Linked DNA regions of Oryzias latipes. The protein of the gene in region 1 purifies or fractionates together with the protein of each later gene. This does not show direct contact. Links are inferred from orthologs where the notes say so. Each region holds a gene or a part of one and is shown on either strand. Other genes may lie near its edges.

What was found. The genes of interacting proteins can lie anywhere in the genome.
Region 2: the proteins of g3bp2 (region 1) and caprin1 purify together in Homo sapiens (affinity purification with mass spectrometry; 5 studies listed by BioGRID and IntAct, with this or other methods). This does not show direct contact. The link is inferred for Oryzias latipes from reciprocal best matches to the Homo sapiens genes G3BP2 and CAPRIN1.

The regions. Positions count from the first base shown.
Region 1 is NC_019859.2:16,816,681-16,820,865, reverse strand, and holds the start of g3bp2 (ras GTPase-activating protein-binding protein 2), read right to left. Parts: upstream 2,801-4,185; 5' UTR 2,608-2,800; intron 763-2,607; 5' UTR 739-762; coding exon 644-738; intron 563-643; coding exon 481-562; intron 106-480; coding exon 1-105.
Region 2 is NC_019864.2:14,871,555-14,875,054, reverse strand, and holds part of caprin1 (caprin-1), read right to left. Parts: coding exon 3,373-3,500; intron 3,299-3,372; coding exon 3,190-3,298; intron 3,114-3,189; coding exon 3,052-3,113; intron 2,970-3,051; coding exon 2,877-2,969; intron 2,795-2,876; coding exon 2,648-2,794; intron 2,317-2,647; coding exon 2,163-2,316; intron 1-2,162. UniProt on the Homo sapiens protein: mRNA-binding protein that acts as a regulator of mRNAs transport, translation and/or stability, and which is involved in neurogenesis, synaptic plasticity in neurons and cell proliferation and migration in multiple cell types.

The DNA.
Region 1 (4,185 bases):
GACCTGCACGACCACGCCATCACTCAGTGTAGCATGAGCGTCCACATGCCGGATCTTTGTGTGGCATTCACTGAACTGCAGGGACATGACTTTTTTGTGGATTTCCTAGGAAAATTAAAAAATAAATAAATTTATAAATATATAATACGAAAACAATTTATGTAAAACACTCATCCTTCATAAGTTGCACTCTTGAATTTATATTTAAATATTGATGAACATTTTTAAATAAGCTGTATAATTTTAAAGTCCAAAGATTTTTTTTAAACCTTGTATTTATGTGTGTGTGTGTGTGTGTGTGTGTGTGTGTGTGTGTGTGTGTGTGTATTTATATATATCTATATATATATATATAGATATATATATGCATTTCCCCCATAGAGAACTAGATCTCAGTAAATATAAGAAAAGCAATAACAAAGAACAGAAAGTAGTTGAAGTCTAAGCAAACAACAAAATCCTTCTGATGATCACACTTACAGCCTGACCGTACACTGCTTCTGCCAGCTTTCCACTTGGATCAAGTCCTCCATGAACATAGGAAGAGTTTCTCCCGTAGAACCTAAACACATGATTAAGACGTTGAATAAGAACCTGCAGATTTATTGTACATAAAATACCTCAATTATATTTCTGAAGTTACCTGTGCAGAAAATCCGGTGCCTTGTTTAGAAGTGTATAGTACTGCCTCACAAACTCCCGCCCTACAAGCAGGGGACTTGGCTTCTCCATCACCATTTCTTTGGTAAACAATATTAAGTGCTGAAACAAAAAAAAAAAAACAGGATCCATCAGAAATTCTAATTATGCATGAAGACACAGATATGACAAAGGTTTTCATACTGCAGACTCGGGTGACTGATGTTTTATATAATATAAGTAATTTATATAAAACAAGAAAATACCATGTAAAGGACAAAGTGAGATATAAAATAGAATTTCAACTGACTTATTTCTACTTTAAACTCCACAATATAAGAGGTCATCGCTGAATGCTGGATAATATAATTCGGTAACCTTTAGGACAACTGTTCGAAAACAGGCATGTCAAAATCTCAAGACATATTTAATCTTCCTCAAATAAAAGTACAAATTTTCTTGTTTCTATTTAGGGTTTTTAACCCAGTCCAATCCTTGATTACTTTAGATAATCTAAAACGTTGGACAACATTTATAAAAATTTCAACAAAAAAACAAACGCAAAATTGAAGAAGATTTTTACCATGATCATAAAGACCTTAAGCAGGTACTGAAACCTTTAAACCCAAACCAGGCTGTTTGTAATGAGTAACTCACCTAGAGTCATTTGGTTAGCGTTCAAATTCAGGTTTAAATTCTATAAGAATTTCAGACTAGGGCCAACTATTCATTTGATTCCTCTAATTGGCCGATTACTTAAAACCTTACATTTTTCTCTCAGAGCATGTCAAATGAATAAGTAATGAAAAGAGAGAAAACCGTGAACATCACAACATTTATCCGGATCAAAGGTGTTCATAACGGTTAACATTCTGCGACATCAATAAGACAAAGGGGGGCAAACCGACTGTACATAATAAAAAACGGGAAACATCTAGTGTAAATGCTCAAACTGGTGTGTAAAAAGGAAGATTAAAAAATTTAAAAAAAAAAAGAATTCTACATTTATTTGTCACCACATTTCAAGAATGTGTTACACAACTAAGCAAACCTTCCTGACTAGAGGCCTTATGGGGAGGCCTTACACATCCTAAGAACTCTTCATCACCTAACATTCTTCTACGCATGTTCAGAACATAATGTGACAGACACGTATAAACGCTCTACTGAATGCCAATTCTACCGAGCTTGTAGAGACATAATGTGCACGCGCTGTCAGCAAACGTAACATTAACTACAAGGTGAAATAACATTTTTATTCACAATATGCCGGCCTTTGCGCTGCCACCAAATGGCTAACGCCAGCTAACCCCTAAGAAGAACGTCATTGCTGCTTAGCTAGCTAGCTTCAGCTAACGTGTGGCGTCGTCGCATTTTCTTCACAGTCAGTTATAGACTAAGTTATTTTTTATTTTATTTTTAACTTTATATTACTATTGAAACCAACTGCAACAAACTAGTTCAGGAAACCTCCAAAATGCTGACCACAAGCTGTTAAATAGAAAATGCCAACATGATGACGGCAACACCTGGCGATACTAGCCATTACAGAAACTTAGCCTAAACACGTAAAAATAACTTCCTCATTTTAAAATCGTATTTTTGGTTACAACACAAAAAAATCAATACAAAAAAATGTTTGAAATAATACTTTCTTGCTATGTCAATACATCAACATCCAAATTCGTACTTAACGTTGAACACCACCACCACAACTGAATGCTCGGTCGGTGCTAGCTTAAGACAACAAAGGAAAGCGTGTTCCAAATCTCTTTGAATCACAAAATGTCCCCGTGTATAGTTAGGAGTACGGTTGCTTATATTAAAAAAAACCGTTTCACTGAAAATTGTAAATATCAACAATACAATCGAACAGTTGTTGTGTGGAAGGCAATATTGCTAACGCAATGCTAGCTGATACGTTTGCTTCGCTTAACCGAAATCTTGGAGAATGGCTAACTAACTTACCTTCTGAAGGACCTATCAAAGTAGACAGAATCGTGTGGAATAAATTACGACAAGTACCCGACTGTAAACTGTTCCCAAATATAGGAATGCCGAATGTGAAAAATTATACTTTCGAACCTCCTCTAACTACAAGTAACAGATCTCTGCTGCACCAGAGATTCGCCACTTAAAGAGATAGGTACGATTTATTATTTTACCCCTGTAATCTCGGGTAGGGGACCCCCATTAACCTGATTCAGCCAATAGACGGCTGAGGTGAACATGGCGTAGGAAAAATGGCCACGCCTACTAACAAAACGCTTTCATTACAAAATATACATGTATACTTATAGTTTTAAAAAATCACGATTTAAGAAAAACCACTCACATGCTGGCAAATTCTGTCTTTTAAAAAATGTTAACTTTCCAGTTTCAGTTGTGAGTCTCTAGTAATTGGACAAAACCAGTACAATCCCATACGGTTAACAGATTCTTCCTCCATGTTTTTTTTTTTATCTTGACTGTATTTTAACGTATGTATTGTTTAAATAGGTTGTTCATTTATTTTTATTTTTATCGGGATTATTCAGATTTCCCTTTTTATTAAATGCATTATTCTTAATCTTTTATTTACCTTAGCAAAAAAAAAAAAAAAAGAATTTGGATTGCTAGTTGTATTGTTGAGAAATGATATGGAAGATGAAGAGGAAGATGATTTGTCCTTGTTGATGCAGAGATGCTTGATCGAGTTGTATCTCAAGTAAACATTACAACCTGCGTTTAGGATCACATTCCCACTTCACTTTTTAAAACATTTTATGGATTCTTTGAGTCCGATCTTTTAAACATAGTTAACTGCTCTCTTCAGATGGGGGTCTTCCCCTGGTTTGGTGAGGCCCCTTCTGAAGAAGAGTCAGTTAGATCCAAAAAATCTGGATAACTACAGACCCGTATCCAAATTACCATTTTTAAGTAAAATTATTAAAAAAAAAGTGTCGCTACTCAACTGCATGACTTTTTAATCACCCAAAAAATTTTAGAAAAATATCAGTCTGGTTTTAGGACAAACCATAGTACAGAGACGGCTCTTTTAAAGATCGTTAATGATCTTAGAATAAACTACGACTCACAGAACTTTCTGTTCTGGTACTGCTAGATCTGAGTGCCACTTTTGATACAGTAGATCACCAGATTTTATTAGACAGACTTAGGAGTCTAGTGGGCCTCTCTGGAAATGTTCTTAAGTGGTTTTACTCTTACCTTACAGGTCGACACTTTTATGTAAGTATAAGTATCTTTAATTTTAGTATCTTATCATGATTTTAGCCCCAGTGTTTCTTGTGGGGATATTTTCTTCCAGGGCTTGCCGGCTTGGTCGGTGGTTGTTGCTGCAGTTGTTGCCCTTGCTGGGGCAGCTGGAGTCTAACTTTGCAGCTTCACGTCTGTGAAGTGGACCCGAGTGTTGTCCCCGTCTGGGTGGGCACTGTGGCGATGCTCCCATGGCCAGGCTGGCTCCTGGCATGAAGAGATTCCCAAATACTGTTTCCTCACAGCAGAGCAAAGCCATACTTGTTTGCATATTTATTTAGTTATTTTATT
Region 2 (3,500 bases), on another chromosome or scaffold:
CTTTTTTTTATTATTAAATACAATTCTCCAAACAGTTTTCTGGGTAGACAAAAAAAAAAAGGGCTTGCAGTTATTTTTTTAGGTATCTTTGTGGATTAATTCATTCGCTAGAAAGAATCTTCTTTCTCTTTCGGCTTTTCCCATCAGGGGTCGCCACAGGGAATCATCGTCCTCCACCTCACTCTATCATGAACATCTTCTACCCTAACGTTAGCCAACTTCATGTCCTCTGTTAAGACATCCATGTATCTCCTCTTTGGCCGTCCTCTTGCCCTCCTGCCAGGCAGCTCCATCTCCAACATCCTTCTACCAATATATCCACTATCCCTCCTCTGAACATGTCCAAACCATCCCAGTCTGGCTTCTCTGACTTTGTCGCTAACACAGGCAACATGAGCCGTCCCTCTGATGTACTCGTTCCTTATCCTGTCTAACCTGGTCACTCCTAAGGAGAACCTCAACATCTTCATCTCCGCTACCTCCATCTCAGCCTCTTGTCTCTGTCTCACTGCTACCGTCTCTAACCCATAGAGCAGAGCTGGTCTCACCACTGTCTTGTACACCTTTCCTTTGAGTCTTGCTGGCACTCTTCTGTCACACAACACTCCTGACACTTTCCTCCAACCGCTCCAACCTGCCTGCACTCGCCTCTTCACCTCTTTTCCACACTCCCCATCACACTGAACTGTTGACCCCAAGTACTTAAACTCCTGCACCTTCTTCACCTCAGCCCCCTGTAACCTAACGCTTCTACCTTGATCCCTCTCGTTCAGACACATGCATTCTGTCTTACTACGACTGACCTTCATACCTCTTCTTTCCAGAGCAAACCTCCACCTCTCTAGCTGTTCCTCCACCTGCTCTCTACTCTCACTGCAAATTACAATGTCATCCGCAAACATCATTGTCCAGGGAGATTCCTGTCTTACCTCGTCTGTCAGCCTGTCCATCAGCATAGCAAACAAAAAAGGACTTAAAGCTGATCCTTGGTGTAGTCCCACCTCCACCTTGAACTCCTCTGTCTGACCTACAGCACATCTCACCACCGTCATACTTCTCTCATACATGTCCTGAACTACTCTGACATACTTCTCTGCCACTCCAGACGACCTCATACAGTACCACAGCTCCTCCCTCGGCACCCTGTCATACGCCTTCTCTAAATCTACGAACACACAATGCAGCTCCTTCGCTAGAAAGAATGTGGTTTTTAAAAACAGGTAGTTACAAATGTGGTTATTCTAAACATAAAATTTTTTTAATTTTTAAAGGTTATTCAAACTCTTGAAAAGTTGGGATGTTATAACCAAGTAACTCAGCATCGCATAAGCATTACAGTAGTCACATTTACCAATCTAAATGTTTAAATTAAAACTATTTAAAGATGTTGTAGATTCTTTAAGAGCTTGAAAGACGTGTTGGTGTGTGACTGACAGAAGTTATTAAAAAACAGGCTTTTTATGTATTCAGTTATGTTTACACCACACTAATGCAAACAGCAGTGTATTCTGTGCAACCATTGCTTTCTTTTGGACATTTTACACAAAATGGTAAAAGAAAAATCCACAAAGAAATCTGTAAATAAATAAAAACAAAACTATAAGTAAGCAAAATCTGGTTCATTCATTGAAGTGTGAGGAATTTGCTAAAGTGGGAGTAAAGTTACTCTTGCATTTTGGAGTGATTAAAAAGAAAAAGAAGGCAATAAAAAGTAACTAAAAATAGTGCCTCTCTTTTTTGTGTATCCACACAAACACAAACATTAGCAGTAAAGAGCTGAGGATGATCCTTAGCTTCAAACCAGCACATTTTCTTTAGTCCCACAGAAACCGGAGTCAGGACTGGTCACTGCTGGGAAATGCTGTCAATAATTTAGACCCAAACTATTCCGAGTTCAAACCCAGTTCAAGTGAACCATAAACACATCAGTGATGACCTGCATTTGTGCGTTTCTCCCACTACAACCCATTTCTGATAAGCAGTGGATGAGCAGCTCAGCTTCAATGTCAAAGTGAAATCAAGTCAATTGAAAGTTTGATTAATGTTACTGCCAGTTCCAGAAATAATGCAGCCAGCTTCATTACCCAGAAAGCACTGCACAGCAAATAGTGCTGATCTAAATGGTGGGACATTTATATTCTGGTCTGTGAAGGTCTGCTCACCGGACTGAAGTTGTTCTGACGGCATCTCTGCCGGCTCTGCCGGATGCTGCGGCTGACTGCTGAAGGCCTGGTTGTAACTGTTCTGGTACTGGTTAGCGTGGTTCAGAGCTTCTGCCTCATTGGCTGGTGGGACCGGAGCATTGAGGTTGAACACCTGAGGAACGGAAAAGCCTCCATGAAGATGAAACCTTAGAGCTGCTTCACTTCAGACCCACAGAATCAACCATTCCTGTTGTGTACATCATTTCATCATGACAGGATTAACATCTCAGTCTTTGGCTTAACTTTAACTTCAGCGATTCCGTTAGTGAGAAAAAGATAAATTAAAGTGGATGCAAAAATAAAATGAATTTCAAATCAAGCCGTCAAGTTCCCCTTGACAACAGATGTGTGTTGGAGCAGAAAACTGCAGCCTCAAAGGTCAGCCTCTGCGTTTCTGATCAGACTTCTTCTGAGCAGCAGGAAGTGAGCGCCATGAGTCTTACGGTTTGCATCGACTGGAATGGAGCCGCATTCACATTGATGCCGCTGCTGTGGGGAGGCTTGGAAACAGCCGGGAATCCCTGCGCCTGGGAGGCAGGGGCGAGAGCCGTGGAGGGGGGGGGCTGCTCTGTCGACAACGACATGGAAGTCTGTTGAAGGAACACATGTTTACTTTCTTTGTTCACTTTCACTCAGGATTATTATTTTTTATCAGTTTCCAGTCAGGTTTACCTGGATGGGGTCGATGACCTCAGGTGAGAGTCGAGGCTCTTGGGCGTGTGAGCTCTGATACATGGGTGGGGGGGTTGGAGAGACGATGGGCACCTGGGAATAGAGAAGAGAATACTTTAACTCGGAAATCTGAGTAATATTTCAAAGAATATACTGATCAGATAAAACCACTCACTTGCGTGGGTTCAGGTTGTACAGGAACAGAGTTTGATTGTGATAGCCGGGATTCAGGATGAACTGAAACGGTGGAACTTCTATCAGCCTATCGGAAATCTAAAGAAGCTGTTTTTAATCATAATCAGCTACAACTTACCTGGAGGACAAACCATCTGTGGAGCTTCCATGTTCTGAGCGGGCTTCATAGGCTGCGCTGACACAATAGCCGGGTCAATGGGCTGTCCATCATACTCCAACATGGAGTCCTGAGAGGAAAAGCGTTCAGGACAGCAGAACGCAAAGTCGAGCCAACTTTTGTTTCCCAAGAGTTCCACCTCACCTGCATGAAGTTGTAAGGTCCTTGCATTTGTGCCATGAGGTCCTGCACGACCTGCTTCCGGACCATGGGGTCACTGGGTGGAACGGGAGACGATAAGTCTATGGGGTGGGTTTCAAGAGAGCCGGGGG